Elephas maximus indicus: one gene and its partners. The protein of the gene in region 1 binds, or shares a complex with, the protein of each later gene. Links are inferred from orthologs where the notes say so. Each region holds a gene or a part of one and is shown in the gene's direction. Other genes may lie near its edges.

Region 1 (7,233 bases):
AAGCATAACGGCGATTGTGAGGATGGTGCTGGATCGGGCAGCGTTTCATTCTGTTACGCGTAGGGTTGGTACGAGAGTCAGAGCCGACTCCCCAGCAACTAACACAGAACACACCTCAGTACTGGCTGTCATGGATTGAAACACGTCCCCCAAAAACATGTGTGTCAACTGGGCTAGGCCATGACTCCCAGTACTGTGTGGTTGTCCTCCATTTTTTGATTGTAATTTTATGTTGAGAGGATTAGCGTGGGATTATAACACCACCCTTACTCAGGTCACCTTCCTGATCCAAGGTAAAGGGAGTTTCCCTGGGGTGGGGCCTGTACCACCTTTTATCTCTCAAGAGATAAAAGGAAAGGGAAGCAAGCACAAAGCTGGGGACCTCATGCCACCAAGAAAGCAGCACCAGGAGCAGAGGACATCCTTTGGACACGGGCTCCCTGCGCCTGAGAAGCTCCTCGATCAGGGGAGGATTGAAGACAAGGACCTTCCTGCAGAGCCAATAGAGAGAGAAAGCCCCTGGAGCCAATGCCCTGATTTGGACTTGTAACCTACTAAACTGTGAGGAAATAAATCTCTCTTTGTTAAAGCCATCCACTTGTCATATTTGTTATGGCGGCACAAGATGACTAAGACACTTGCTTTTTTATTTTGTTTTATTTTGAGTGGTCAGCCATTGTGGCCTCTTGAGTCCCCCAACTTTAAATGTCTGAAGGCTTCTGGTCTCCCTGGGAGTTGGCTGAGATGCAGAGGCAGCCAGGGCTTACCTGTACATGCACTTAAAGACCAGTTCAGTAAAAGCACACAACTTAAAGAAAACACTCTTGAATTAAATTCTCTATAAGCACATGCATTTCAGTACTCCTTTGGCTACGTGACTACATAAATCCCCTTCCTCGTAAGTCTTTCTAGCTTACGGGTTCCTTGGTAAACTGATGAATAGAATAAAATTCTTGACATGTGTCTCCTATATTTTGCATTAAGAACCCTGTTTTTAACTTTTTTGAAAATTACTCCTTGATGGGTGTATTACAGGGATCTTCACAGAAGTGACGTTTTACCTGGACTGGTTCCCCCATCTGATTCCCTGTCTTTCAGGACCTCTTCCCTGAACCCCCTGAGTAGGATGGGGGCCTTTAGTAGAACAGTAGTGTTCCCCCAAAATGCCTCAGGCAAAATTTCCTCTATCATTGCTTATGATATTGTTTTTTAAAAGTATGTGTGTTATTTCTGCATTCTGTCTCTTAGAACTTGTTTTTAATTACATAAGTAATGTATGAATGCATTCTACAGGCAGTCCCCTGTTGTTCATAGGGTCGTTACAGGTCAGAACCGACTTAAAGGCTCCTAACAACAACAGATACATTTAAAAAGGGATATAACATTTTAATTTTAAATGTCAGTATTCACAATATCAAAATTTATATTTTTTGTATCTGTTTAAACTTAAGATAAAAAATTTTGATACCAATTTAAAAATGCACAGGAGTGATCAGATTTCCATTCTTGAAAATATTTCTGGCAGCAATCTGGAGAATAAACTGGAGGGGGGAAACTAAAAGGCCACTTGGGAGACGTAAGAGTCCAGATAAGACGGTATTAGGGCCCAACTCAGGGAAATACCGTGGTAAGGAAAGAACAGGTCTAAGATGGAGCGAAGAGGCAGAATCGATGGTGATAGAGAAGACAGGACAGAGTCCAGAGGCTTCACAGAATCTTTTTGAATGTATATAGTAAAGATAGAGGAGTCTTGGATGATTTCAAAGTTTCTGGCTAGGAAGACTGGTTTAAAATAATGAGCCCAATCCCTAAATTAGGTAATACAGCAGGTTTTGGGGAAAACAGTTCAGTTTTGGGCATCTGAGTTTGAGATGATCATGGAACCAAATATCTGGGTGAAGATGTCCACACAGCTTTTATAGGAATGGGTCTAAAGCATAGGGGAGGGAAACTGTAGCAGTGGAAGAGGCCCTGGTTATGACACTGAGCATCTAATAGAGTAAGTGGAAGAAGAAAACGAGCCAAGGATGGAACACTAACACTGAAGGGGTAAGGAAAACAAGACAGTCCTGTAAATTTCAGTGTTTAACGTATAGCAGGAGTCCCTGGGTGGTGCAGTTAACGCGCTTGGCTGCTAATCAAAAGGCTGGTGGTTCGAGCCCACCCAGAGGTGCTTTTGAAAAAAGGCCTGGCGATCTACTTTCAAAAAAGCAGCCGTTAAAACCCTATGGAGCACAGTTCTATTCTGACACACATGGGGTTGCCATGAGGCAGAATCGACCATTCAGCCAGCAACTGGTGGTTAACAGGTAGCAATGAATGAATTCTTGTGAATTGGAGAAAGAAAGGGAGAGGAAGAAGTAGACAGATAGACTGGAGAATTAGGAGAATATTTGTGGCAAGATAGAGGGGCTTGCCTCAGGTCACACAGATAGCAAGGAGAGGAGCTGGAATTAAAACTCAGTCTAACTCCAAAGACAGAGCTCTTCATCACTGTGCTGCCCTACCTACCGATCGTGACACAGAGGTCAGAGAAATTTCTCATGTAAGGTCCTAGGAGAGATAGTAAGCAGGGAATTTAGAAAACAGCCAAAAAAAAATATTTAAGAGGGAAGTTAGTAGGGATGGTATGTAGTGTTAGACTGGTAGCGGGAAGCTGAGGGGCTGCTCCTCAGTCTCCCTCCCAACATCCTTTTCCTAGACCTTCCTCTTAAATACAGAAAGTTCCCTTCTCAGGTTCTTTCCTTTTCGTTTTCCACAGAGTTTCAAGGGGAAGGAAGACCTTCCAGTGTAGTCAACATTAAAATATGTGACATTTAATTTGTCTAAGTCTAGCCTAGGTAGCAACTCCCTTATCAGTTTAAGTTTCATACAGAAAGTTTTAGACACCGAACTCCAAGTTCAAAACTCTTGCTGACAATGTTTTATAAGGAATCGAAAGAGCTGTAGAGAATAAGTTGGATTTCTACATAATATGGAAAGACATCCAAGTTATACCGTTAAAATGAAAAACAAAACATTTTTATCTCATTTCCGTAAATAACAATACATATTACCACTGGCATAAAAAAACACCCAAAATACTATACTTCAACCATCAACAGTGGTCCTCTCTGGGGGATGTTCTGATTACGGAGATCTTTCATTCTATAATTTCGAGTTTTTATGAACATGTAATAATCAGGAAAAAAAAAAAAAAAGACAACTTTTGACCTTCTAGAAGCACATGGTCTAACTTTTCTGCTTGAGCAAGTTCCTTAGCAGCGCGTCCCACTCATTCGTGGATCATCTAGACATCGGTTCTAGGACCAATGGATGAGTTAACGCACACGCGCCGCGCACGTTGTCCAACGCCAGCACCTCAGTTAACGCTGCACACAGCTGTGGGGGGCGCCGCGCACGTTGTCCAACGCCAGCACCTCAGTTAACGCTGCACACAGCTGTGGGGGGCGCCGCGCACGTTGTCCAACGCCAGCACCTCAGTTAACGCTGCACACAGCTGTGGGGGGCGCCGCGCACGTTGTCCAACGCCAGCACCTCAGTTAACGCTGCACACAGCTGTGGGGGGCGCCGCGCACGTTGTCCAACGCCAGCACCTCAGTTAACGCTGCACACAGCTGTGGGGGGCGCCGCGCACGTTGTCCAACGCCAGCACCTCAGTTAACGCGCGCCACAGGCGCGAGGCCGTAAAGCGCCCCGGGGGTCAGTCAGTTAGCTCCCCGCCCCTCCGGCCCGCCCCGAGGCGCTGAAAGCACCTTTCCTCAGCAGCCCGCGCGAAGGCTCTGCTGGCGCCGCGGGACACTCGCCGGGCCCGGGTGTCGTGTTTCGGGGAGGTGACCCCCAGCCACGAGCGGCGGTTAGGACCGTTACTCACCATTTCTCGGGACGCCAAGCTGGGGCTGGCGGAGCACCAAACTGAAGAGCATCTGGGCCAGAGGAAGACGCGCAGTTGAAGAAAAGGCTCTGAAATGCCCTAGGTCCCGCAGAAACCGCAGCCTGCACCCCAAGAACAAGACCAGGCGCTGCCTTCCACTCCCGCCACTGCAGGCTCCAGCCACCAAACTCCGCGCCAAACTGACGTCACGCTCTCTGATTGGCTCCCGCCGTGGCGTCATGGCGCCGCAGAGTCACTTCCCCCTCCGGAGCCCCGCCTCCTCTTCGCCGGTCCGCGGGAACCCAGAATTCAAGAGCCCCTTGAGCGCCTGCGCGGGGGGTCGAAGAGGCGCTGGCGAACCGGGGGATGGCCAGGGCGCATGCGTAACACGGCTTGCCAGCGCGCGGAGGGAAAATCCGCGAGAAGGCGGTGAAGGAAGATGGCGGGGTTGGGGCAGGGTTTGCGGCCTTTCTGAATAGGCTAGTCAAGTAACTATTCAGGTCATGGCGTCAAACTCAACTAAGTCTTTCCTGGCAGATGCCGGCTATGGCGAACAGGAGCTAGATGCGAACTCCGCCCTTATGGAACTGGACAAAGGTATGGGAAGGAGAGGGGGAGCCGGCTGAACGCATGAGAGGGAAGTGGCGCCCCCAGGTGGCGGGAGCCTCGGGAGAGGCGGCGGGAGCGCGTGAGAGGGCAGTGGCGCCCCCAGGTGGCGGGAGCCTCGGGAGAGGCGGCGGGAGCGCGTGAGAGGGCAGTGGCGCCCCCAGGTGGCGGGAGCCTCGGGAGAGGCGGCGGGAGCGCGTGAGAGGGAAGTGGCGCCCCCAGGTGGCGGGAGCCTCGGGAGAGGCGGCGGGAGCGCGTGAGAGGGAAGTGGCGCCCCCAGGTGGCGGGAGCCTCGGGAGAGGCGGCGGGAGCGCGTGAGAGGGCAGTGGCGCCCCCAGGTGGCGGGAGCCTCGGGAGAGGCGGCGGGAGCGCGTGAGAGGGAAGTGGCGCCCCCAGGTGGCGGGAGCCTCGGGAGAGGCGGCGGGAGCGCGTGAGAGGGCAGTGGCGCCCCCAGGTGGCGGGAGCCTCGGGAGAGGCGGCGGGAGCGCGTGAGAGGGAAGTGGCGCCCCCAGGTGGCGGGAGCCTCGGGAGAGGCGGCGGGAGCGCGTGAGAGGGAAGTGGCGCCCCCAGGTGGCGGGAGCCTCGGGAGAGGCGGCGGGAGCGCGTGAGAGGGAAGTGGCGCCCCCAGGTGGCGGGAGCCTCGGGAGAGGCGGCGGGAGCGCGTGAGAGGGAAGTGGCGCCCCCAGGTGGCGGGAGCCTCGGGAGAGGCGGCGGGAGCGCGTGAGAGGGAAGTGGCGCCCCCAGGTGGCGGGAGCCTCGGGAGAGGCGGCGGGAGCGCGTGAGAGGGAAGTGGCGCCCCCAGGTGGCGGGAGCCTCGGGAGAGGCGGCGGGAGCGCGTGAGAGGGAAGTGGCGCCCCCAGGTGGCGGGAGCCTCGGGAGAGGCGGCGGGAGCGGGCCGGGGTGGCCGAGGGCTTCGGCGGCTGGTGGGAACCAGAGGAAGGCTGCAGGGTCGCCCTGTTGGCCTTGACCGCATAGCTGGCTGTCTTACCGGCGAGCTCTCGTCATGGGCATTTTGGCCACTTGAGGGGACGATCCCCTGGTTTTCCAAGCACTGAAAATGGCTCGTTTCTAAAAATGCTAAGGTGAAATTATTTTTTGATATGTTCAGTTGAGCCCAGGTTTTCATGAAGGGTGCCGAAGAATAATCTTGCGCCAGCGCTGTGAAGATTGAGTGGGTCTCCGTAACTCCTTGCTGCGTGCGGGATGCCACGCAGCTTAAACTCGGGAAGGCTTGGTCTCCCCCGTCCCCGCAAACGGGCTCCCCGAGCCGTTTCCTAGGCGACCGGGCGGGGGCGGGCTTCCTAGGGTGGAAGGAGGAGCTTTGGGTGCCCTGAGTTCAAGTTCAGTGCTGCAGGCTTCATCGTCACGGACAGGTACCTTACTTCACCTAGCCTCGGTTTATCGGCGTGGGAAGGGGGTGCAGGTACTAATGAGAAACTTGTTCCACTGCACTTGAGGAATTTTTATTGTGTAGGAAAAGCATATTTTGCAGCTGATACAGTTAATTCTTGATTATCCGCAGCCAGTGTGTAATGTACTGAGAATTGGACCGTGAGTCAGAAGGATCTGCCTGTAAGTCCCCTCTGAGCCGACTTGGACATGTCTATTAACTTCTTTGGAACTCCTTTTTTGATTTTCTTTTCTTGTTTTGCTTGTTCTTTAACCTGTAAACATTTTTAGTAGGTTGACTAGATAAGAGTTTCTCACACTTTTTTTCTCTTTTGGCATTTACCTCCTTTTTATCAATATAAAAACGTCACAACGCCCCAATGGACTGTTCCTTTGCTTGAGTCTCAGTATCTTTATCCATCTTCTCTAGCCAAGAAAATGTTTAGCTTTGCTTTCGATTACCAAAGCTATAAGTCTTTCCCCTGAAATATTAAATTGTAATATTAAACATGTTTTTTAAACACTACACAGTCTTTCCCTCTCCATCCTGATAGGCTTTTCTCCCTTATTCCCCAGTGTGAGTTGTGGGTCTTGTGCTGTCTGATACACAGCTGGCCTTGTCCCATGCTGACAGCAGGACAGTGTTTGTACAGCCGGGATCAGGATGGGGCACTGAAGAAATGAGAAATCTAGAATTATTTAATTTCTGAAAATTTGCAGTTGTGGTAGAAATAACAACTAAATTTTCTCTTAAAGAACAGTTGAAATAGGAATACTTTAGGTCAGTAAGGAATAAGTGGATGGCTACTGACTGTTCAGCTGGAAACCAGATGTCAGCCCTCGATCCTTAGTGTTTATGTTCAGTTCTCCCAGCAGTGCCCTGGGGAGTATTGTACAGATGAATCTCAGACTCAGAAAGATAACTTGTCCAAGATAAGTACAAAACTCTTGTTCTTTTTCACCTCACCATGCTGTACCTTTGAAAGCTGTTAGAAAATTAAACTGCAGAAATAGTTTCATTAGACTATATAGTATTTTAAATATTGAATCATTTCGTTTTTTACCTATTAACAATGTTTTATGTTTTGTGAGCCAAAGGTCATAGTCAGAAGGCTACAAGTTCCAACTTTTTGTTTTCCAGAATGTAGTCCGAGGAATACTGTTTATGAAGTATTTAAAAATCCCTGTCTCTCTCTCTCTCTAACACACGTGCACACACACACATCTTATTTGATCAGCAGTTAACAAATGAAGATCAGTAGACTCATTTTTACATATGACTGAGTGCTATATCTTGTGACTTACAAAGGGAATTATTAAGCATTTCTAAGAGTTGGTATTCACAGGCTGAAATTAGTATTCTA
Region 2 (7,078 bases), on another chromosome or scaffold:
TCTCAGATGAAATACTTGGCTTGCGCTTAGTGGTCACATTTTAGAAAAATTCTGTATTTTTATATTTCCAGAATCACAGAGACTGAGTGAAAAAGAGATTCGTGGCTCTCATCTTGTGCTCACTCCAGGGCCTAAGGAGAGGAGATGGTGGGAATCTCTGGCACTGTTTAAATTCTTTTTCTCTTTTTATTTTTTGCCAAACAAATATAGTTGAATTCAAGTAATTTAAATAAGCATATGAAACATTTATAATTTCTTTCCTTTAGCTTCCAGACTTGTTTATTTTAGGAGTTCTTTTAATAAAGGCAACAAATTTAAGGGTGTGTGAGTTTTTCAGTTATTTATTGAGTGTCTACTAGATGCCAGGCACGTAATTATTCTTATATTTTAAGCATGTAGTTTTCAATCAGTATTCTTTATAAGATTGACCTGAAGAGCTCTTTAAAAGTAGGATGACCAGGGTTTACCCAAATTCTACTGAATCGCTTTCCTCAGGGATGAGGATCTGGTACATTTTTTTTTAAAGCTCTTTGGGTGATAATGATGTGCATCTCATGACCAAAAAAACACAACTTTCTGCCATAATCAACCAATAGCCTGTCAACCAGTGAGCACTAAGAATAAACTTGGCTATTTCACAATTTTGTCTAGAGAGGTTGTCAATGTTTCCTTGTTTCTGATTGCCTCTTCATTTGCAGCATATATTTGCCCTGATTTCTTTCCTGTTCTGTGCCTTCTATTACTTCTTAGGTTCTGACTGGAAATCTACCTTTGATCTCAGGCTTCATTGTAACATAGGTTCTGGTTATATACTCCAGGTTGGGCTCACTGGGCTTGGCTTCCTGGTCTTTGCATCTGACCCTGATCAGTATGACAATCAGCCAACCCTACTGAGTCAGGGAAGAAAGAGCCATGATGGCTCAGTTGGAAAATGATTTCAAATAACTATATAATATAGTTAATTATATATGCTAATGTATTTCAAAGGAGCTGGGGTGGCACAAGTGGTTTGAGATTGGCTAGTAACCTAAGAGTTGGCAGTTTGAACCTACCCAGCACCTTCGCATAAGAAAAGACCTGCCTATCTGCTTCTGAGATTTTGTTGCTGTTAGGTCTTACAGCCAAGGACACTCTACGGAGCAGTTCTACTCTTAACACGTGAGGTTGCCGTGAATGAGTGGCGGACTCTGCGGCAGCTAATAACAGTTTGGTTGCTTTCAAACACTGCTTTGTACTTAGCACTATAACTAAAAACTCTCATTTATAAGAAAAAAAATCCCGTAGTCTGGAATAAAGGCTCTTATTGTCTAGTCCTGACCAACCTTTCTGAATCTTGTGCTATTCTTCTTGTGTCTGGTGCTCCAGCCTGGCTAAACGTCACTGTCCCCACGAAGCCATCAGCAATGCTGTCCTGCCTTCCTTTCTTTCCTATGGTTTCAATGTCTGGAAGGGTTTTCTTTTTTTTTTTTTACCAGCAGCTTCCCCTTCCTCTACTCATATATCCCAAATCCTACCGATCCCTTAAAGCAGTGTTTCTCAAACCTATATACAAAATACTGAATATTGTAACTGCCCCCACATGGCTTCCCAGGCTGAAATCTTTACAGGTAGGTCTTTTCTCCCACAAAGTAGCTGGTAGGTTCCAATATCCCATTTTTTGGTTAGCAATTGAGTGCTTTAACCATTGTGCTGCCAGGGCTTCTTGAATAATGTATTAATGCAATGTAAATTCTTATGATCCTATAAAAAAATAACAAAAATACAAACTAAACCCGTTGCCATCATGTCAATTCCAGCTCATAGTGACCCATAAGACAGAGCAGAACTGCCTCATAGGGTTTCCAAGGAGTGGCTGGTGGATTATAAATCCCGGACATTTTGGATAGCAGACAAGCTCTTAACCACTGCACCACCAAGCCTCTCTTATGAGGATACAATTTGAGACAGGCAGGGAGGGATCTGCAGACTTTGAAAACACTGATAATAGAAACTACAGACCTATACTCTGAATATGTCCATCATTCTGAAAGAAAAATTGTCTTTATAACTGGCCGCGTAATTTATATATTGTCATAAAAAATGAAAACAAAAATTTGAAAGTATCATAGAACATAATTCTTATCTCTGGGTCTAGGATTCCAGTTTCAGAAATACTTCTTTATGTTGCACCTTAAACATACTGACCCTAGGAAATGTTCTTTCATCACCACAATATATATTTCTTTTCTCTGAATTACTTAGTATCTAGTCACTTTATGCCTTATGTATGTCATCTTTTTCTAGAAAACCATAAACTCTGTGAAGGCAGGGACCATATTTTATTTATTTCTTATCTTCTCCATACTAAGACCATAAGGTCACATTGAGTCAGAATAGACTCGAAGGCATCGAGTTTATACTAGGATCAAACTTGATTAACTTTTTATCTCCAGCACACCTAGTACAAGGTAGGTCCTCAGCAAATATTGGCTATAGGGCCTGTATTCCATCTTCTTCCTATTTCACAGTTCAAATCTCAAAAATATGACACCTCTTCCATGGTACATAATCACAGAGCAGCATTATTACTGAAAAAGCTCTAACATAAATGAACAGATTTCTGAAGCTGTCGTAAAGATTAGGAAAAGCCCAATTTATAAAACTTAATTTTTTTAAAAGTGCCACATAGCATCTCTTCTGTGGTTAACAATATCAACAATTTCTCTAAATGAGCAGTAAGCAAATAAGAATTTCGGAATAGAATTAAAAAATTCAGGCAATGCAAGGCTAGTAGGAAAGGCCCGATTAATAGCTACATTTTAGAAGGTCCTATGTCCCCAATCCAACTTGCATTTAAGACAGTGTCTTCAGTGTTTCAACTCGTGTCTTGGAGGACACTATCCCTCGGACATTTAGGAGAAGCTTCATTACCTCAGGTAGGATGAGAGAGACTCGCGTTAGAACTTCTTCCCTCTACGGTATTTGGGTCAAGCGTGAGAGGGCACCATATTGAAAGAGCACTAGCAGGGTTATGGGAACCCATTTTGTGTTATCCCGGCAAGCCAAAGGCAATTTTTTCACGTGTAAAATATTGGTAATGCATTACGGTCGTTGGGGTCCTTTTCAATTCTGATATGCAGATTTTGCTATTTATTCTACGGCCCAACGTAAACGCGGCTTGTGCAATGTAATTCTGGGGGTAGGCCCAGTTATTCTTCTCCCGAGTAAAAAGGGGAACTACGGAAATCGGAATCTTCTCCCAGGGTTTTTCGGGGTTGGGTTAGGAGAGAGGGTTTGTTGCCCTTCTGAGGGGTCCTCAACAAGACGGAGCCCGGCCTGCCCCGGCTCCAGCCCTCGCCCTCGGTCGCTCCCCAGGCCGAGGGAGGCTCCGCGCGAGGTTCGGGCCCTCGTCCCCACTCCCCAGCGGGAGCGGTGTGACTCGCGGAGATCAGTCCCTGGTCATAAACAACCTCTCACTTCCCCTCCCCCGCTCCGGACCCGCCCGCGCTGGGGCCGGCCCTCCCGGTCCAAGGAACCTCCTCCGGCGACCGCGGACCCGAGCCACCTCGGGGGGGCGACCGCGGGTCCGACGCTTGTGCTCATCGGGTGTCCGGGCACTTTACTCATCCTCTCCTCACTCGCCCCCCGGGGAAGGGGTTCACTACAACGACCTCGGAGGGCAGCTGAAGCCAGCCTGCATCTCCCTTTCCCCGACCCCTAACACCTCCAAGAGCCAAGGGCAGGCCGGCGCCCTGACGCGCAAGAGCGCGGCGGCCCTGCGCGCGCCGACGCGGCCCCCTCCCCCACCTCGCGGCCCTTCCGCGGTCCGTCCCCGCCCCTTCCCGGAGCCCGCCTCCGCGTCGGCCCGCCCGCCTGCTCGCCCCTCGCGCGCGTACCCGACGCCCCGCCTCCGCGCGTGCTCAATAACTGTCCCCAGAGCCGGCCTAGGAACTTCCCCCGCCCCTGAGCTGTTTAAATATGCTAATGAAAGGTTAGGGGCTAGCCAATAAAACAGCGGGGCGGTGCATCACGTGGCTCGGGGACGTGTCAGGGGGCGGAGCCTCTGCAGCCCCTGCCCGAGTTAAAACCGGAGTGTGAGAGAGAAAAGCGCTTCAGTAGCGAGAGGGGCCGAGAAAGTGGTGACACCGCTGGGGTGCAGAGGGAGTCCCTGAAACTTCTCCCAACAGCCCCAGGGCCAATCTCCCCTCAGCCCACTCCCCCCTTCGCCAGCTCCCAGGTCCCCACTCCCTGCACCGGGGGTGGGGTGGGGAGCCAGGCCCGTCTCCCGCTGGGACACACACAGGGGCCGGGAGCGGGGACGGGACCCCCGAGGTAGGGGGGACGGACCGACAAACAGACGGCCGGGAGCCCGGCCCAGCGGGCAGGCAGGCAGGAGGAGGCGGAGGCGGGGGTACGACGGGGAGGACTGGGTCTGGGGAGTTTCCTCTTAACTATCGGGGGAGAAACTCCCCGCAGCCGGAGGAAAGACCCAGACGGTGTTTTCCTCCCGGGGGCCGCGCTCCCCGCCCCGCGTAGCGGCGGTCGCCGCCACCGGCGCCGACACCTACCGTCTTCCTCCACCACCTCGGGCCCCGGTGTCCCCGGCCAGCACTATGCCCATCTTACTGTTCCTGATAGACACGTCTGCCTCTATGAACCAGCGCAGCCATCTGGGCACCACCTACCTGGACACGGCCAAAGGCGCGGTAGAGACCTTCATGAAGGTACCGACTGACCGAGCCCGGGCGGCGACCCCGGCCCGGCGGTCCGCGGGCGGCAGGGGTGGGGGAGGGCGGCTGGGGGCGGCGAGGCGGAGGTGTCGGGGACCTGACTGCGGGAGCTGCCGGCCTCGGGGACCCCCTCCCCCACCGCGCGGGCGGGCGGGCGGCGGGCGGCGGGCGGCGGGCGGGCGCTGCGAGCCGGGCTCGGCCCGGGAGCCGGCTGCGGCCCCGGACCCGGTTGCGGCCCCGGGCGGTGTGTGGGGACCGATCTGTGTGTGGGGGGCGACGTGGAGGGGTGGCCGCTGCGTGTGCGGTACTGTGGGGGGGCGGCGGGGCCGCTCGACGCCCCTTCTCCGCCCGTAACCTCGCCTCTGTGCTTCCCTCTCGCCCGCCCTGTTCCTCTCCCCGTCCCCCGTCCGCTCTCCGCAGCTCCGTGCCCGGGATCCCGCCAGCAGAGGAGACAGGTACATGCTGGTCACTTTCGAAGAGCCGCCCTATGCTATCAAGGTAACAGCCCTCGCCCTCCCCCCTTCCCTTCCCTTCCCGGTTCCTTCCTCGCTCGCCCTCCCCGCCCCCCGTCCACCCTTCATTATGCTCCCCTCCCCCACCCGCCGCTCTCCCGGCCCCGAGGCTTCTTCCCCTGAGGGCTCCCACCCCCTCCCCCGCTCTGGATCGTCCCGGCGCGGCGCGGAGTCGCCAGGCCATCGCCGTCCCCTCCCGGGCCCGGCCCGCGGCGGCGGCGGCGGCGGCGGCGCTGCGATCAACATGGCCGACATTTCCCCTCCGCGGCGTGAGCGGCAGCAATGAACTGTGGGGGATATTTATTCAAGTTAGCCGGAGTGACAGCCGGGCCGGCGGCGCAGCCCCGTCCGCATGAAAGGGGGCTCGGCCCGGGGCTCGGCCGCGCCGGCTCGCCCGGGGCTCGGGCTGGGGCGTGGGGGAGCGGGGGTCTGCGGCGCTGGGGCTCTGGATGGCTCCTGAGAGGGCCACAGGCTAGTGGGACAGCTGTAGGCTGACTTCAGAAGTCCAGTTTCCTCTGCTCTGCGCTGCTGCCTTCACATCCTGAAATTTGGGGTGTGAGAGAGTCAGCTCCCCAGTAAAGTTGTGAAGTGTGGCAGCTGGTAATGACCAGAAGCTATAGAGCAAGAAGGTTTATTCTGGCGAGCTTTGGAGGGGAGTTTCCTCAGCAGTGACACACAACAAACAAGTTAACCATGTTGTACTGTAAAGTGAAGCAGCTACTTGGCGAGCATCAGATTATAACGGCTGCCCGTGTGTGCATGGCTTTGAAAGATGAAAAAAAAAATTCTTACATTTTTCTTTTCAGGCTGGATGGAAAGAAAACCATGCAACGTTTATGAATGAACTGAAAAACCTTCAGGCTGAAGGACTTACGACTCTTGGCCAATCCCTAAGGACAGCTTTTGATTTATTAAATTTAAATAGATTAGTAACTGGCATAGACAACTATGGGCAGGTAGGTTGAATATTAAGGTGGAAAAATAGCTGATTTTTCTTTTTGTGGAAAAACACATTCCAGTCCTAAACCTATATGTAAAATATAAGTATGAAACATTTCAGATTAAAAGAAAATATATGCACGTAACACAAATGTGAAACCCTCAACATACTCAGTATAGTTTTGTATCCCTCATATTTTTGCTTAAAACGCACTTGAATTCAGAATTAGAGCCAGAATCCTTTGCTAAAAATTGAGTTGTCGTGAATGTGGTTTTAATCCCTTGAAATTCATTTGGTACATTAAAGTGGAAACCTCCTGCCTCACCATACTCAGTAACGAACCGCTGCAGGCGAATGTGCAGCCACTGCAGTGGCCTACAGACACCAGCTGGTCAGTGGTCCCCATTTCTGTATCAGTCAGGACAAATATTAGGAAACTGTTCTCTGTGTTGCATCAGGGTGTAATTTAACCATATTGTTTAACTATTCTGAAAGCTCAGATTTTCATTGGGGTGCAATACCTGGTTGAGTACATTAAGATTTCTCAGTTTTTCAAGCATACACAATTAGCAACTATTGAAGGAGATTTTTTTTTTTTTATTATAAACCCTTGGAAAAGAGGCTGTCTGGAAAATAATGAAAGAACCCACTCTTAACCCCTAAAGCCCTCTATTGCACCTGCAGCTCGTCTGTTTAAGGATGAGACAAGACTTCCATGCAGCTTTAAATCACATGGTGGTTCACTGTGGAATAATGCAAGGTGGTCCATTATAACTTTTTAACGAGATCACTGGCCTGGAAAATAAAAGATACTGAAGAATATGTAATGTGACACATAACAAAGGGCTGTTAAACCCAGTGAGTTTCCTGTGTCGTAGTGAAGAGCACTGTCACCACCATGGTATACTTAGATGTAC
Region 3 (7,120 bases), on another chromosome or scaffold:
TACTCGTATATAAAATGAGTATAACACTATCTACCATACAGTGCCTTGTGAGAACAGTATCTGTGACATAGGAAGCCCTTAGTAAGTATTCATTATTGTTATAGTTGTTGTGCCATCTACTCAATTTTCGAATCATAGTGACCCCATGTGACAGAGTAGAAAACTCCATCACTATTATTATTTATTTATCCCCAAATTCCTAATCCATTAACACTATTAAAAAAAAAAAAAAACTTTTGATGGACAAAACCCAAACTATGCTTTTTATATTTCCAAACTTCTTCCCAGGAGAGGTAAGGATTCATGTTGAACTAAGAGGGTCATTTTTCAAATATGGGGGGGGGCGGGAAGTGTTCTCAGGTTAAAACCCAGGGAGTCACAAATGGTAGAATATAAAAGTGAAACCCTTAGTCTGCACATACTTTTTTATTATACAAAATAAATAGTTTGACACAGTTTACAAGTATAAAGATTTTATAAGTTAATTTTTCCTACAGATTAAAATTTAAATTTAAACTGGTTTAAATTCCCTCCTATATCAAGCTCTCAGCATTATCAATGTAAGAACTTAACCTGTGTTTTATACATTCCACAAAATGACACTAATTATTTGGTTGCAGAATCCCATTCATTCTTACAATACAGATTGAAAAAAAAAAACAAAACCTTGTCCCTAGAGATATACGTAGCAGCAAATTACTTTAAACATTAAAAGTTGAAAAAGGAAAAAAAAATGAGTTTCTTCAGAGCTCATTACATTATGTAACGTGAGGACAGTTAAGTCCTCAAGAACAAAATCCTATGATTAAATTAGATGTTTTCTCATGTGGAAAAGAAGTATTAAAGAAAAAAGTTTAAAAGTAAAAAGCTTACAGTAACCTTAGCCATAAGGGAAGTGTGTCAGCTTCTCACTGGAGAATCAGGGGATCATGTTACCATGGTATCATAATGCTTGCCACTCAGCCCGACCTCATAACTAAGAGATCCACACTGTGAATGCTAACATGTTTGAAGCATCAGCAGGACTGAAATAAAATTACTAAATTCCCACAACAAGCAATACTGGTGCCTGTTTTGATCTAAAAGCTTTAAATCCCTGCATTCCAAGTGTTAATCATAACAGAATTCATTAGGCTGCTTCGAATGCTTGAGGATAAAAAACAACATATATGCAGGGAACTATATACCACAATATATACAAGGCACTGGGTTTTTTTTTTTTTTTTCTTTTTTATATACCACAAACATTTCCGTTGCCTAGCCCCATAATTTGTTAGTGTCAAGGTCTGTTAAATCTTTGCTGTTAGGAAGGCCAACTGGATACACAGGATTTATACTTATTTCAAACTGCAGGTGAAGATGCAAAAGCTACCAAGTAAAAACTTAATGGGAACACTACATGGAGTAGAAGTGTAAAGAAAACAAAAGCAATGATCAAACAACTCTCAAATCTTGATATTTTAACTTATTTTTGAAGTTAGACATCTTAAAGTGATACTTTTGAGTATAACTCAACACAATTGGAAGTAACAAGTATGCTAAAAGCAATACTTAGTGTATGTACCCCATCAAAGTTTAAAAAGCAAAAAAAAAACCTCACAGCTTAATGCTTGATTTATTAAATATGACAGCAAAGCACTCAGTTATTGTGTTTTAACAAAGAATTTATTTTCACAATATTTAAATGATGTTCACGTTTTAAACTGTCATGTATCTAGTTCTTGCCAGCTTTTGCATTTTCTCCTGTCAACAGTTTCTATTGAAAACCTTAGGAAAAAAAATTAGAACACTACTCTCTTTATTAATAATTTAACCCAAGATATATTATTAAATGCTGGCAATCCCTTGGTATTCAAGAACAAGGGATGGGATCATGGCACTAAGGGATCATGGCATTAACGGATCCTAGCATTAAGAATAAAGGGGGAAAAAAAAAGTCACCTAATTCCAAAACTAGGTAGAAAATTGAGATGGGAAATATTTGTACTTTGATGCTAAAAAAATTTTTTTTTAAGTTCACGCAAGTTAAAACCAAGCTTTCTATCTTAGTTAAAAAAAAGAAGAAGAACACCGTTTTGACGGTGTAACATAAGCAAATGGCCCAAAATGAGGCAAGTCCTTTGGAGCAACGGTTAAGTAGTATTCACATACCACTGCTTTCTCCAATCAGGAAGGGCTGAAATGGAAAACCAAGTGTCAAAGAGAAAAAGTTAAAGCGTGATCTCAAAAGCCTTGAAACTACACTTAAAAGCAAACGCTCAGAGACCTCATACAGCTTCTACAATTGGAAGCTGCTCCTTTTCCCCACCAGCAGAAACCATGGGACCAGGGAAAACTTGGAAATGCCTAAAACTGAGAAGGGGCCCGAAGCCCTCCGCCCGTACACCCAGGACCCGTGTCTAAAGACGCCAAGACGGCCGTGGGGCTGGAGAAAAATCGGGACACTGATTCCACGCCCTCACCCTTCCCGCCCTTCCCACGCATCCTCAGCCCTGTCGACCCCCGACGCCAAGAGCAGTCATTGAAGGGTCGCGGGGGCTGGGGAGCCGGTGGCCCGAGCGCCCTCTTTACCTGGTCGCAGAGGCGGCCAGGCAGGGAGGGTGCGTGAGCGTGCCGGCGACGCGGGCTGCCTGCGCCTTCCCGTCCCGCCCCAGCCGAGATTCGGAGGCCGCTTCTGGGAGCCGCCTCCCGCGAACCACTAGCTTCCACAAGGGCCCAGAAAGAAACAGCAGGCCACGCGTCTGGGCAATACCGGCGTTAGCCGTCATTCATAATCCAGCGGACCGGAAGAATGGGTGCGTCACTTCCTGCTGTCGCACCGTCAAAACGTCCCCCCCTCGGCCCTGCTGCAGGAACTTTCTTTTCCGGCTCTCAGAGTCGGCTGGCGCCGGGACCGGTTCCGAAGGAGCTACCAGGAACGGACGGAGCTGCTGGGCGGAACGGTGAGTTGTGACGACCGACCTCACTCCCACCCACCTGTGGGAGGCTCGAGACCCTCGCGAGGGTTGAGGTGGGAGAGTAGCACTGTGGGTTTTTAATTTCCCTCCTCCTGACAAGGAAAACCTCGTGATTTGCCGGCAGTCGCATGCCCCAAGCCCACCGTTCTGCCTTTTCAAGGAGACTGTGCTTTCTCCGAGTGTGTTGTGAGCTGGGGCATGCGGACTGAGGACTCGAACCCAAGGACTAGGTCCTTGGAACCCTATCTCGGACCTTTCTCAGGTTTTGACGACCCTCCGTACATCGCCCTCATTTCGTCTCTCTTCTTCTTGGCTCCCTGTCAAGGACCTGCCCCCGTCCTAGGCCTTTGGTGTATCATACTTTGGGCAAAGGACTGGCATCCCTTTTCTAAGTGTCTGCTGTTGCTTTACCAGCTCCTGTCCCATCTGGTAGGTTTGGAATCAGGGCCTTACCGCCTGCCCTGCTTTTCCAGATGTGACCCTTAGGTATCATTGTGACCCAGGACTGAGAACTCAGTGGAGGAATGAAAAACATAGCATCTTTTGAAGGATGTTTTTGAAAAAGGTTGCAAGAGATGGCAAAGACATGAATGGCAAAGGCTTCTAGTGCTGTTTTGAGATGGCAACCATAATACTGCACTCGGCATGAATAGGTTCAGTTTCCTTCATCTGGTGCACATTCAGAAAGCAACTTTGGAACTTCTTTTGGGATGAGGCAGGTAGGCTGAGAAACAGGATCTAGAGGAAAAGCATATATGTACATTTTATATTTATGCATGGATACCTAGTTTTGATTGGAGAAATCACAGAAGCCCTAAAAAAAAAAAAAGTGACGTTTATGTAAAAACTTAATTCATTTGTTTAATAAATATTTTTGAGCACCTGTGAAGCTCCAAGCACTAGGGATGCTGCTAACTGAACTAAACAAGTACCTGCCCTCACAGAGCTTATAGTCTAGCAGGATTAATGAATTTAGACCAGGTGAAGGATGGGAACAAGAGTTTTGCTGTCAGGAACATTGTACAAATCCTCAGTAATGAAAGAGGTATTGATTTGTTTTGATGCTTGGTTTTTTTTTTTTTTTTTTATTGTTTGGAGGGGGTTTGGGTTTAGGTTGCATTTTTTGTTCCATTTTGCTGGAGAGGTGTTGGAAATGGTTAGATTTGTGTTAACAGTGTGACAAGAACATTATACTTTCATCTCTTTATTCAGTAAATGTCAGTGAAAAGATGCCAGTTGAAAGAGACTGAAACGAAGATGGAGTAAATAATCCATATCTCAAGGTTACAAAGAGGGCATGAAGAGATGGGATCCAGAACAAAGGTGACATTACATGGAGAGGTGGGGAGGAGGGACCTTCTCTTTTTTATCAAGTAGGGAAGAGGAAAAGGTGGGTGCAGGTACAAGTTGAAGAGGCTGATCACTATGGATGCTAAAATTGTCGAAGATGATGGAAGAGGAAGAGGAGCCTGGTGCAAATGTTCTATACAAGCGTAGATTTTAAGAGAAGATGTTGCTAAATGGTGGTCATGGAATATTTTTCTGAAAGCAGCAATATAAAGACTCTGTAGACCTCTTTTTTCTCTTGTGAGAAGAAACAAGTCAAAGAAACTATTGGAGAAGGTTGCAAGGGAGGTGGTGTCATCGTGGGGGGATAGTAAAGGAGTGCTTGAGGAAAAAGTAGAAAATGTAAGGGACTATGTTAGGAATAGTGCAAGGGCTAGAAGCTGATGGGTAGCTAGCAATGACATTAGTGTGGAGAGGAGGATGAAGGGTTGTACAGAATGAGTATTGGAGGGACTTGCAAGGGGAAGGTAGTTTGTACCTTAAAGCAGCCATTATGTATAATAGAGAAAGTGAAACTGTAAGTTGCTAGATAGGCTAGAGTAGTGACTACCAAACCTTTCTCATAACTTACTCCATGTAAAAAATGTGAGCACTCTTCCATATTTATATATTTACATTTACTACTACCACTTTGTATATTAATTTTTTTGAATAAAAAATTAAATATAGATAAAAGTTCTAATATTTTCTCCCTGTATGCCACTGTGGAGACCATTAGGCTAGCGGGATATGTTATTGGTTTAGGATGGGGTACACGGCCAGTTTTCTAACTCCAGGATTGCATAAAAAGAACTAACACCGAGGTTCCAGTTGGAATGTTGGTAGTAATGCGTGACTTCTGTAGACTTGTAATCTAGGTGCATGACTCTAGACACCTACACTGTACCATAAAGCTTTTATCTGTGACTGTAGAAAAGCCTAACAATAAATCTTTTGCTTTAGTTTTTTTAGCATAGAAATTTCGAGTAATGGTTGTTCTAGTGTATACCAGGATTCTTCTAGGTACCAACCTTTTGGTCAGTACTTCATGAGAGAGGTTGTTGTGAATAAGTAAACTACTGTCCCTTTCAGCTATATAAAGTAAGTCAGTAGAAAGACCAGGCTCTGTCCCCTGTTACACACCGGAGGATTGGCAGGTTTACCCTTTTTAATCATGGAAATTTTATCGAGGAGCTGTTTTCTTCTCAGAACATGTTTGGTGACCAGCCTTATGAGTAAATTTAAAAATAAGTTTTCTGTGTCTATCATATATATAGATAGTATGCATAATAATACAATCTTAAGAAGTGACAGAGTTTGCTTTTCAATTTTTTTTTAAACTCTTTCTAATACAACTGTTTGAGATAAGGTTATTTTCTTTCTAGTAGCGGCCTTTGAACTCCTTTTCATGGGTGATTCAGGGGCAATTTGGGGGCAGTAGGGTATCAAATACCATCACTGAAACTTGAAAAATAAAATAAAAGAAGCTTAGGAGAGTGTGTATTTGTGTGTGTTGTGTTTCCTGTCAAACTTGGAGACAGATGAAGGGGGAAGTAAGTGGGGGAAGGAACAAATAAAATCCATTTTCAGGCTGAGCTTTCCTATGCCAAGATTCAACCTAGAGGAAGTTTTAATGGCTTTATAAACCCCTGAAAATGGGAGATTACTGTGGAATTGCTGACAGATCCTCAGCTGTAGCAGTGCAAGTGTGTTGCATTATTATAATATTAACCTCAAGGATACAAGACGGATTTCAAATCCTGGTATATTGATCAAAGGGTGGAACACAAAGAATACATTTTGATTTTAATAATTCCTTGCCTGGGGAGGTGTTTGAAAAAATGACAGCCAGAAGTAGAACCACATGATAGCATTGGTATTAACTGAAAACAAAACTTTTTAATGTTTCGGAATTTCCTAAGCCTTTGTTGTATATCTTCATCTGCCTTGGCTATTCTTTAGGCTCCTTAGGACACAGGGCATTATCATAGGCCCTGTGGGGTGTATATACTTTTTTTTAATAGACATGGCACCATCCTCTAAAGACCTAGTTTTTTAAAACAGGTTAATGCATGAAATACTACAATCTAAATGTGATCAAATAAGGCTATCATTAGTATGTTTTCTGAGACATTTAAGATTGGGGCTGAGTATTAGGGAGGCAGAAAAAAAAAGTTAAAAAGGTAATTTAGGTAAATGCTGCAGCAGTGGTCTCTGTAGCTCAGAACTTAAGGCATCCTCTGACCATTGCCCTGCGGTGACACTGCCTCCCCCACATTCACACAATAAATCTTTGCTTTTGTCATGGAAATAAGATTTGGGAGAAGAAATTTTAATACATAGTAAACTTGACCTAAACACATCAAGTTCATGTATACTGAAACTGAAGTGTATCTTTTAAAGCAGAGATAGGAAGGGACCTTTGTGGCAAGGAGGAACTAACCTGGATTTAAAATTTCACCATGGATATAAACTGAAAACGCTGGTTGTTTCAGGGGAAAAGAACTAAATAATGCCTGTCAGGAAGAAGAAGAAAACCTACTTTTATCTGTAATAACCTTTGGGTTCTTTTGAATTTTGTACCGGATGCAGTATTACCTATTATAAACAAAAGAACCAAATAAAATATTGACATAGGTAATTGAGCATTGTCTTTAAATTACTTCCCTTTTCTCTCCCCCTACCCCTTTGCAGGTGTTTGCAATGGCTGCTGCTGTGAATTTGGAACTTGATCCAATTTTTTTGAAAGCCCTAGGCTTCTTACATTCAAAGAGTAAGGATTCTGCTGAAAAGCTAAAAGCACTCCTTGATGAATCCTTGGCTCGGGGCATTGATTC
Region 4 (8,021 bases), on another chromosome or scaffold:
TGTATGTTGCTATGATGTTAAACAGACTGCCACAGAGCTTCCAGACTGAGAGACTAGGAAGAAAGGCCTGGTGATCTACTTCTAAAAATCTGCCAGTGAAAATCCTGTGGATCCCAATGGCCTGATCCTGTTGTACATAGCGCTGCCTTAAATTAGGGCCTGACACATAGAAGTGAACAAGTCCAACAAGGGCCAGTTGTATTTACTTAGGACTCTTAAGTCACATATCACTTAAGATACTATTTTAAGAAAAAAATCTCAATACCAGTAGCCTCTATTTTGAAATAACATATTTTGCTTCCATTATTTTGGCATTGAGAATGATACTGAAAATCTCCATAGTTTCTATAATGTGGACAGCATGTGGGTGGTTAGCCTTCGGTTTCTAGCTTGAGCAACTGTTCAGTCTCCTGCCGTTTGTGGTTCGGATTCTTTTTTACCAGCTGCATGTCTGATCGATGTATACCAACTTCATATGTAAACATAAAGGTGTTTTATATATGTGTGTGTGCATGCATGAGTGTACACGAGACACTCTAGACAAGCTGTACTTTCCACTTATAACAATTTTTTTATAAATCAAAGCTCTACTAAAGTGAGACGTAAAAGCCAAAAAAACCAAAACCATTGCCGTCGAAGTCGATTCCGACAAGTGACCCTGTCAGAGAGAGTACAACTGCCCCATAAGGTTTCCAAGGAGTGCCTGGTGCATTCCAAATGCCGACCTTTCGGTTATCAGCGGTAGCTCTTAACCACTAAGCCATCAGGGTTTCCAAAAGCCAACAGCTAACAAAAACCTAGTCAAACAAAAGCAAGGTGAGCTACAAAATTAATTTTGAAAGCCAAAAAAAGTAAAACAGGTTCACAAAACGCACAGAAAACCAATACATTTTCACTCAGCACTTTTAAATTTCTATATAAATTTTCACATTTTTGAAAACTGGTTGGTATACTGACAAATGAATTTTTGAAAAATGACATCCAAGGATAAATTTTTAATTCCCAAGAGAAAAAATTCAAGTTTATAGATCTGCTTACAAAAATAATAGAAGCAAAAGCTGCAATGAAATAAACAGAAAAAGCAAACATGCTTTTATGGGAAATGCTAGCTCTCTGAAATATTAAAAGTAGGATGAACTAAAATAAGGAATACTCAAAATGACAAGTTAAGCATGAGTATTCCGATGTATGGAAACCCTGGTGGCATAGGGATTAAGTACTACGGTTGCTAACTAAGAGGTCGGCAGTTCCAATCTACCAGGCGCTCCCTGGAAACTCTGTAGGGCAGTTCTACTCTGTCCTATAGGGTCACTATGAGTTGGAATCGACTCAACAGCAGTGGGTTTTGGGGTTTTTTTGTTTTTTCTTTTTTTTTGGTTTATTCCGATGTATTAAAAAACTACTGAAATAAACAATTTCATTCCAATCAAAACTTGCCAAACACTATGAAACAATGCAAGATTTATTGCAATATATTTTATAACCTACCAATACTGTGCTATTAAGTTTGTATTAGTGATGTAGGCTAATAATAGAAGACTGAAATTTGTTTCTGCAGCAGTGAAAATGACTCCTTAATGAAGACATTCAACATAAAACTTACCCTAACAGCTTTTTGATGCACATTTGCAACCAGAAATAGTTGCATAAATACATGCGGTACACTAACGTAGCAACAGATTGGGTTAAAAACAGTTCGGATTTTCAATTCCCCATAATATAGGCAACATTTTTAGAAGTGATCACGTGAAAATAAAATGTGTCTTTCACAGTTATGGGATGAAATTTTAAGCTGGTCAGGCACCAATGCCCTGATTTTCTACTTTTGTAAACCATATGACTTCCACATGCTGAGAATGTTTTAAGCTTTAACCTGCAGTAAAAGCTTTATATCATCTTAATGCCCAGTGCTTAAAATGCAATGGAATCACTCCAGCGAATGCAAGGAATATATCTAGTTTGCATTTAATGATGTCAACCAGAGTACTAGTGAGAATAAGTTTCATGAAAGTTTTTCCCGTAACTTTGCATTTCCAAAGAATAAAAACAAAAAGAATAAATCCAACAAAAAATTGCTAAGCTAACGGTAGGTGGAAGAGAAAACATTCTTATATTTTTCTGACTCTTAACAAGCATTTGAGGTATTTTTCTAAAATAATTATTAAACATTTTAAAACTCTATGACTACCAGAATATCTTCGAGCAAAGAAAAAACAACAAAAAAAAAAACACTCTATTATACAGTTATATAGGATTTCTCTTCAGTTTTTGCAAAGTAATGTTTCACATTAAGATCCAAGGTTAAAACAGATAATTCTGGAAATCCTATCTATACCAAACTAAAGTCTCAGCTTTGCATCAACATATACTATAAATTCGAGATTTAAAAAATATCAATTTTTTTTGTCAGGTCCATCAGCTTAACTGCATGAATGACCAACTGCAGAAATTTCAAATCAAAGGTTATAAAACATCCCATAAAATTACATACTGTATCTGTGTGGAGTTCAGTTTTTATAGAATCTAGGGTCTCTTATGATAGGTGGCAGTTTTAAGAATCAGTAAGTTTGGGGTCATATGTAAATGTATTAAATTCTCAACAGTCTAAATAGAAATTATTACAATTCCTTTGGTTATTGAAAAGCCCATTACACTAAAAAATAGTCACATAAGAAGGCATACTAAAGAACTTCTATTTCAAATGGAAATACAAAATAAACGCTCTTAAATTCTCCTTTTGTAGTGTTATTGAATATAAAAGACTGAGAAACAAGAGATGTTGCAATCCTCTTCCCTTCACAGCTCTAAACGAAACTAACAAAAAATCAGAATTCAAATTTTTCAGAATTCAAAATTTCCAAACTTGATTTATAAACATAATTCAACTACATCTAACAACTTAGTTGCTCAATTTAAAAATAAGTTTAACGCAAAGCACTGCAATCCTTACGTGGCAATTACCTGTGGCATAAATGCAAAATAAAAACAAATGCAAAATCTTTTCATCTAGTGATGCCTCTTACAGTATAAACAACAAAAAAGCACAACCATATTGGCACAAACTAAATAAAAAGGCTCAGGAGGCATTATGTCCATCCAAATGCCAGGGAAGAAAGGAAGGAGTTTCTACACCTGCAGGATTCCATGGAAATAAACTGGTCACATCACTCTACCCTATGTGATACATGAGGGTTTTAAAGCTATTTTAAGGTAAATAAAAACAGCAATTACTTCATATCATTCAACTTCACATAGTACGGTATCTTCAAGGCCAACTGCATTCTTTCCTTCACTCACTCTTCCACACCAGCTTTCAGGCAAATGCGAGGCAGAATAGGGTGGGGTAGAAGAAAAATACAAGCAGCGCCTTTCAGCTGCCCCCCAAATAATTTCCAATAGCTTTTCCTGCCACGAAAATAAGTCGCCCTATCTCAAGATACACAACAATCATTCTGTATCTTCAGTAGACACGCACAGACACATACACAATTCAGCACTCCGTATGCCCACCCCACGCCCCAAAATCTTAATTATTAATATATTTAACACGAAGGCGGCGAGACACCTCTACCTACTGTTTCGGGGTGAGGGTGGGTGGAGGACTCCTTTCAAAGTAGCCCCAAGAGTGTAACCAAAACACGGTTCCGGAATAAAATATTAAGAACACTTTTCCTTTCCCACCTAGCTACTGACTTAAGTATGCAAAAATCCATCTCCAAACCACATCATCTCTACAATTCTCCTGCCGGGAGTTTGGGGTGGAGATGCGTCCAGAGGAGGGGGCGGAGACGGGGAAGAGGAGTGTGAGCGGGCAATCCTACACAAACGAGTTGCTAACCCCAGCTACCCAGCACCACGTCGTCAGCCAAACGTCCAGGAGCAGGACCTCACACACGCTACTCAGCCCAGGCCCCGTTAAAAGCTATGTTTCTAGCTATCTAACTTCTTATCTTTAGACATTTATGCAATACAAATATATCACACAAGTACCCGTAACACAGTTTAAACCACAGTAATACAAACCAACACACCTCAAAATCACGTCAGTTTCCCAAACTCCAAACAGAAGACCCCCCCCCCAACTCCCGGATTCAAACCTTCCGCCCACCGTGGCGGTAACAAGGAAAAAAGAGTTGGGGAGAAGCCGACGCCTTTCAATTAATGCACCCTATAAACTGCCCCACCCCATATCCTGCGTCCAGGTCAATTACTCGGAAGCCCCTGCTTTCTCCCTCCTCTCAAACCGGCCGCTTAAGAGACCCTTCCCCATCCCACTCACTTTCTCCCCAAAGCCTCTGGGGGAAAATTTTAAAAGTAAAGAGAAACAAGTGAGGGAAGAGACTTGAAGTAGTCCGGTTTCAAACTGCTCGACTCACCTCAGAATCCTCGCTGAGTTCTCTCCGCCCGGCACAGCCCCCTCCCCAACGTCCCAGTACGAAAAGCTGAGATAGGAAGGAGAAAGCGGGAGGGGGAGGGGTGTCTTCCGCGTGGGGAGCCCGGCGGGTGGGGGCTGGGGAGGGTTTGAGGCCCGCACAGGAAGAGGAAAGGGAGGAGGGGAGGCCGGTATCTCCCAGTCTCCCCGTGAAAACCTCCCTTGCCTCAATCACATCAGACTGACTGTCTTTGTCTGGCTGACAACCGCCATATTGATATCAACAGCCCCGCTCCCACCTGCTGCCGCCGGGCAGCCCTGGGAGTTGTAGTTCCTGCCTCCCTTGAGTAAAAGCTTGGGACTCCGCATCTAGACACCTCGGAGAACTACAGCTCCCGGCAAGTCCCGCATCCATTAGCCGGCCCACAGGGAGGAGGAGAAAGGGGAATCCAGACCCACCGGGACTACACCTCCCAGAAAACTATGTGTCCCAGGCCCATATGGGGGACAAGATATCATGATGGGGTGAAGAGGGAGGATGAAGAGACGGCGAGGATGACGGAAGAAGGAGTTCAGGGAAAAAAAGAAAATATGACCACAGTTCCCATGATGCATCTAGGGATGACTACATTTCCCATGATTCCTGGGGCGTGGGATGGTGGGAGACGGCCTGTCCCGTAATGCTCTGTGCAGGTTGGTGGCGGAGATTGAACCGGAAGACGCATTCTGGGTCTGAGGAGTCGAGTGATTGCTGTTGAACAGCCTGAAGTCCAATATGAAACTGGTGAGTTTCCACTCCTAGGTCAGAGGGCAAAGGTGATACCATATCCTTTTGGACTTCGTGGTTTCCACCTTGCGAAAGGAACCGTCGCGGAGGAGGGATGGCTTTTTCGGAACAGGAATATGGGGTAGACTAGGGAAATCTGCTTTTTGTAGTCGAGTAGGTCGGAATCCTCACCCTTATCCACTCCACCATGCCCCTTAAAACAGCACGGAGAACTTTTTCACTCATTGTCAGGTCAGATAAGAGGTTGACTGTCTCATTTCTTCACCTGTGAGCTAGGATTGGAGCATAGTCACCTATGACTTCTGAGCTTCCACGTGAGTATTATAATAGGCACACTGGTTGATACATGTTTAGCTCTTCTCCCTGCTGAAGCGAGTAGAAGATACTAGGCAGAACGTAATCACTTATTAAGTTTCCTGTTATAGTTTAATTATAATTGCCCTTTGAATTCAGAGAAGGAAATCAGCGTGTGATCTTGCAGGATTTGAGTTTTAAACCCTGTATAGGATTTGGATGGGCAGAGAGGAAGTGTCAAGACATTCCGGTCTAGGGCTGTAGAGATTGCATGAACAAAGGTTAGGTGGAAAATGCTAGTATACCTAGAGAAATCCTTGAATCACAGAGCTCCAGTAGCTTCTCAGATCTTTATTTTCACTCTTTACTTTTATTGTGAGTTAATTCCAACCCTATTGAATTAGTAATAGCACAATTAGAATAGGAAGGTAGCTGTGAAACACTGCTTCTCAATCTTAAAATCCTGCAACCAAGTTGTCAAGCTTCATCCATTGCCATCAAGTCGATTCTGACTCATAGCAACTCTATAGGACAGAGTAGAACTGCCTCATAGGGTTTCCAAGGCTGTAATCTTTATGGAAGCAAACTGCCACATCTTTTTCCCGCAGAGCAGCTGGTGGGTTCAAACTGCTGATTCTTTCTGTTAGCAACGGAGCACTTAACCACTGTGCCGTCAGGGCTCCTTTGTCAAGCTTTACTTTCTGTAATTTCTATACAAAAACAAATGGTTTGTTTTTCCTTTTATATAACTATTTGAGTATGCTTTTCGAAAGTACATAGCACCCATTTGATAATCATGCTACAGGCATACGCTCTGCAAAGTGGCAACTGTTTGCAGGGTGGAAGTCAGAGAAGGTATTAAAAGTAGATTCAACTCCAAAACTGTCTCCATTTAAAGCTGTTTATGTAAATTATTGTTAATACTATTGTTGCAGGACTGTCTATACTATAGTAGTTATGGTAGTTGCCCTTTATTCGCACGCTCATCTCAGTGTCCCCTTTTGCTTTGGTCACGTTCTGCTGAGTTTTCCCATATTATATATTGCTTTTCCCTTCACCAGTGTTAAGTCGTTCCTACTATATCTTTCCATCTACTACCTCTTTGGTAATTTTTCCTCCCTCCCTCTACCATCCCTGGTAACCATAAAAGAACCTACCTTCCTTCCTTCCTCCCTCCTTCCCTCCTTCCCTCCCCTCCTCCCTTTCATCCTTCCTTCCTTCCTTTTCCTTTCCTTTTTTCTGTGTGTAAGCCTTTTCTTCTTTATAAAATCAGTATCAAACAATATTTGTCTTTTTACGATTGACTTATTTTACTCACTGTATGGTGTGAGGTATGGATCCTGTTTCATTTTTCTACAGATACATATCCAGTTTTGCCAGTACCATTTGTTGAAGAGACCGTCTGTTTCCCATTCAATAACCTTTGGTCTTTTGTCGAAGATGAGCTGTCTATAGGTGGATGAATTTACTTCTCCGTTCTCAATTCTGTTCCATTGGTCTATGTTGTTGTCCCAGCACCAGGCTGTTTCAACTACCATAGCTGTATAGTAGGTTCTGAAATTAGGTAATGTGAGATCTCCCACTTTGTTCTTCTTTTGAAAAGCTTTATTATTCAGGGTCTCTTTCCATTCTGTATAAAGCTAGTGATTAGTTTTTCCATCTCACTGAAGAATGCTGTTGGGAATTGGATCAGGATTGCATTATATCTGTATATCGCTTTGTGTAGCATTGACATTTTCACAACGTTTACTCTTCCTATCCAAGAGGCATGGTGTATTTTTCCATTTATGTAGGTCTCTTTTGTTTTCTTGCAGTAGTGTTTTGTAGTTTTCTTTGTAGATGTCTTTATGTCCCTGGTTAGATTTATTCGTAAGTATTTTATCTTTTGGCGGGGGTTATTATAAATGGTATTGTTTTCCTGATTTCGTTTTCAAAGTTCTCTTTGTTGATGTAGAGGAATCTAACTGATTTTTGTATGTTGGTCTTTTATCCTACCACTTTGCTGAATCTTTCTATTAGTTCCAGTAGCTTTCTTGTGAAATCTTTAGGATTTTCTATGTATAGGATCATAAAACCAAAAATCAAACCTGTTGCAGTCGAGTCAATTCCGACTCATAGCGACCCTATCGGACAAAGTAGAACTGCCCCATATCGTTTCCATGGAGTGCCTGGTGGATTCGAACTGCCCACCTTTTGGTTAGCAGCCGTAGCTCTTAACCACTTATGCTACCAGGGTTTCCTGTATAGGATCATATTATCTGCCAATAGGGATAGTTTTACTTATCCCTTACTGATTTGGAGGTTTATTTCGTTTTCTCACTTTATTGCTAGGACTTCCAATACAGTGTTGAATAAGAGTGGTGATAAAGGATACCCTTTACTGGTTCCCATTCTCAAGGGGAATGCTTTCAGATTCTCCCTGTTGAGAATAATGTGGGTTGTTGATTTTGTATAAATTCCCTTTATTATGTTGAGGAATTTCCCTTCTATTTCTATTTTATTGAGAGTTTTTATCAGGAATGGCTGTTGGATTTTATCAAATGCCTTTTATGTGTCAATTGAGATGAT

What was found.
Region 2: INTS7 (region 1) and INTS6 share a complex: the UniProt entries of both Homo sapiens proteins name them as parts of the integrator complex. The link is inferred for Elephas maximus indicus from reciprocal best matches to the Homo sapiens genes INTS7 and INTS6.
Region 3: INTS7 (region 1) and INTS12 share a complex: the UniProt entries of both Homo sapiens proteins name them as parts of the integrator complex. The link is inferred for Elephas maximus indicus from reciprocal best matches to the Homo sapiens genes INTS7 and INTS12.
Region 4: INTS7 (region 1) and INTS9 share a complex: the UniProt entries of both Homo sapiens proteins name them as parts of the integrator complex. The link is inferred for Elephas maximus indicus from reciprocal best matches to the Homo sapiens genes INTS7 and INTS9.

Annotation. Positions count from the first base shown.
Region 1 is NC_064842.1:638,389-645,621, reverse strand, and holds the start of INTS7 (integrator complex subunit 7), read left to right. Parts: upstream 1-4,225; 5' UTR 4,226-4,377; coding exon 4,378-4,471; intron 4,472-7,233. Other genes in the region: DTL (denticleless protein homolog), read right to left, coding at 3,875-3,926. UniProt on the Homo sapiens protein: Component of the integrator complex, a multiprotein complex that terminates RNA polymerase II (Pol II) transcription in the promoter-proximal region of genes.
Region 2 is NC_064832.1:26,247,030-26,254,107, forward strand, and holds the start of INTS6 (integrator complex subunit 6), read left to right. Parts: upstream 1-4,078; 5' UTR 4,079-4,592; coding exon 4,593-4,703; exon of another isoform or gene 4,704-4,838; intron 4,839-4,883; exon of another isoform or gene 4,884-4,953; intron 4,954-5,129; coding exon 5,130-5,207; intron 5,208-6,027; coding exon 6,028-6,177; intron 6,178-7,078. UniProt on the Homo sapiens protein: Component of the integrator complex, a multiprotein complex that terminates RNA polymerase II (Pol II) transcription in the promoter-proximal region of genes.
Region 3 is NC_064823.1:46,026,110-46,033,229, forward strand, and holds the start of INTS12 (integrator complex subunit 12), read left to right. Parts: upstream 1-4,106; 5' UTR 4,107-4,262; coding exon 4,263-4,280; intron 4,281-6,977; coding exon 6,978-7,120. UniProt on the Homo sapiens protein: Component of the integrator complex, a multiprotein complex that terminates RNA polymerase II (Pol II) transcription in the promoter-proximal region of genes.
Region 4 is NC_064840.1:43,557,963-43,565,983, forward strand, and holds the start of INTS9 (integrator complex subunit 9), read left to right. Parts: upstream 1-5,003; 5' UTR 5,004-5,147; coding exon 5,148-5,156; intron 5,157-8,021. UniProt on the Homo sapiens protein: Component of the integrator complex, a multiprotein complex that terminates RNA polymerase II (Pol II) transcription in the promoter-proximal region of genes.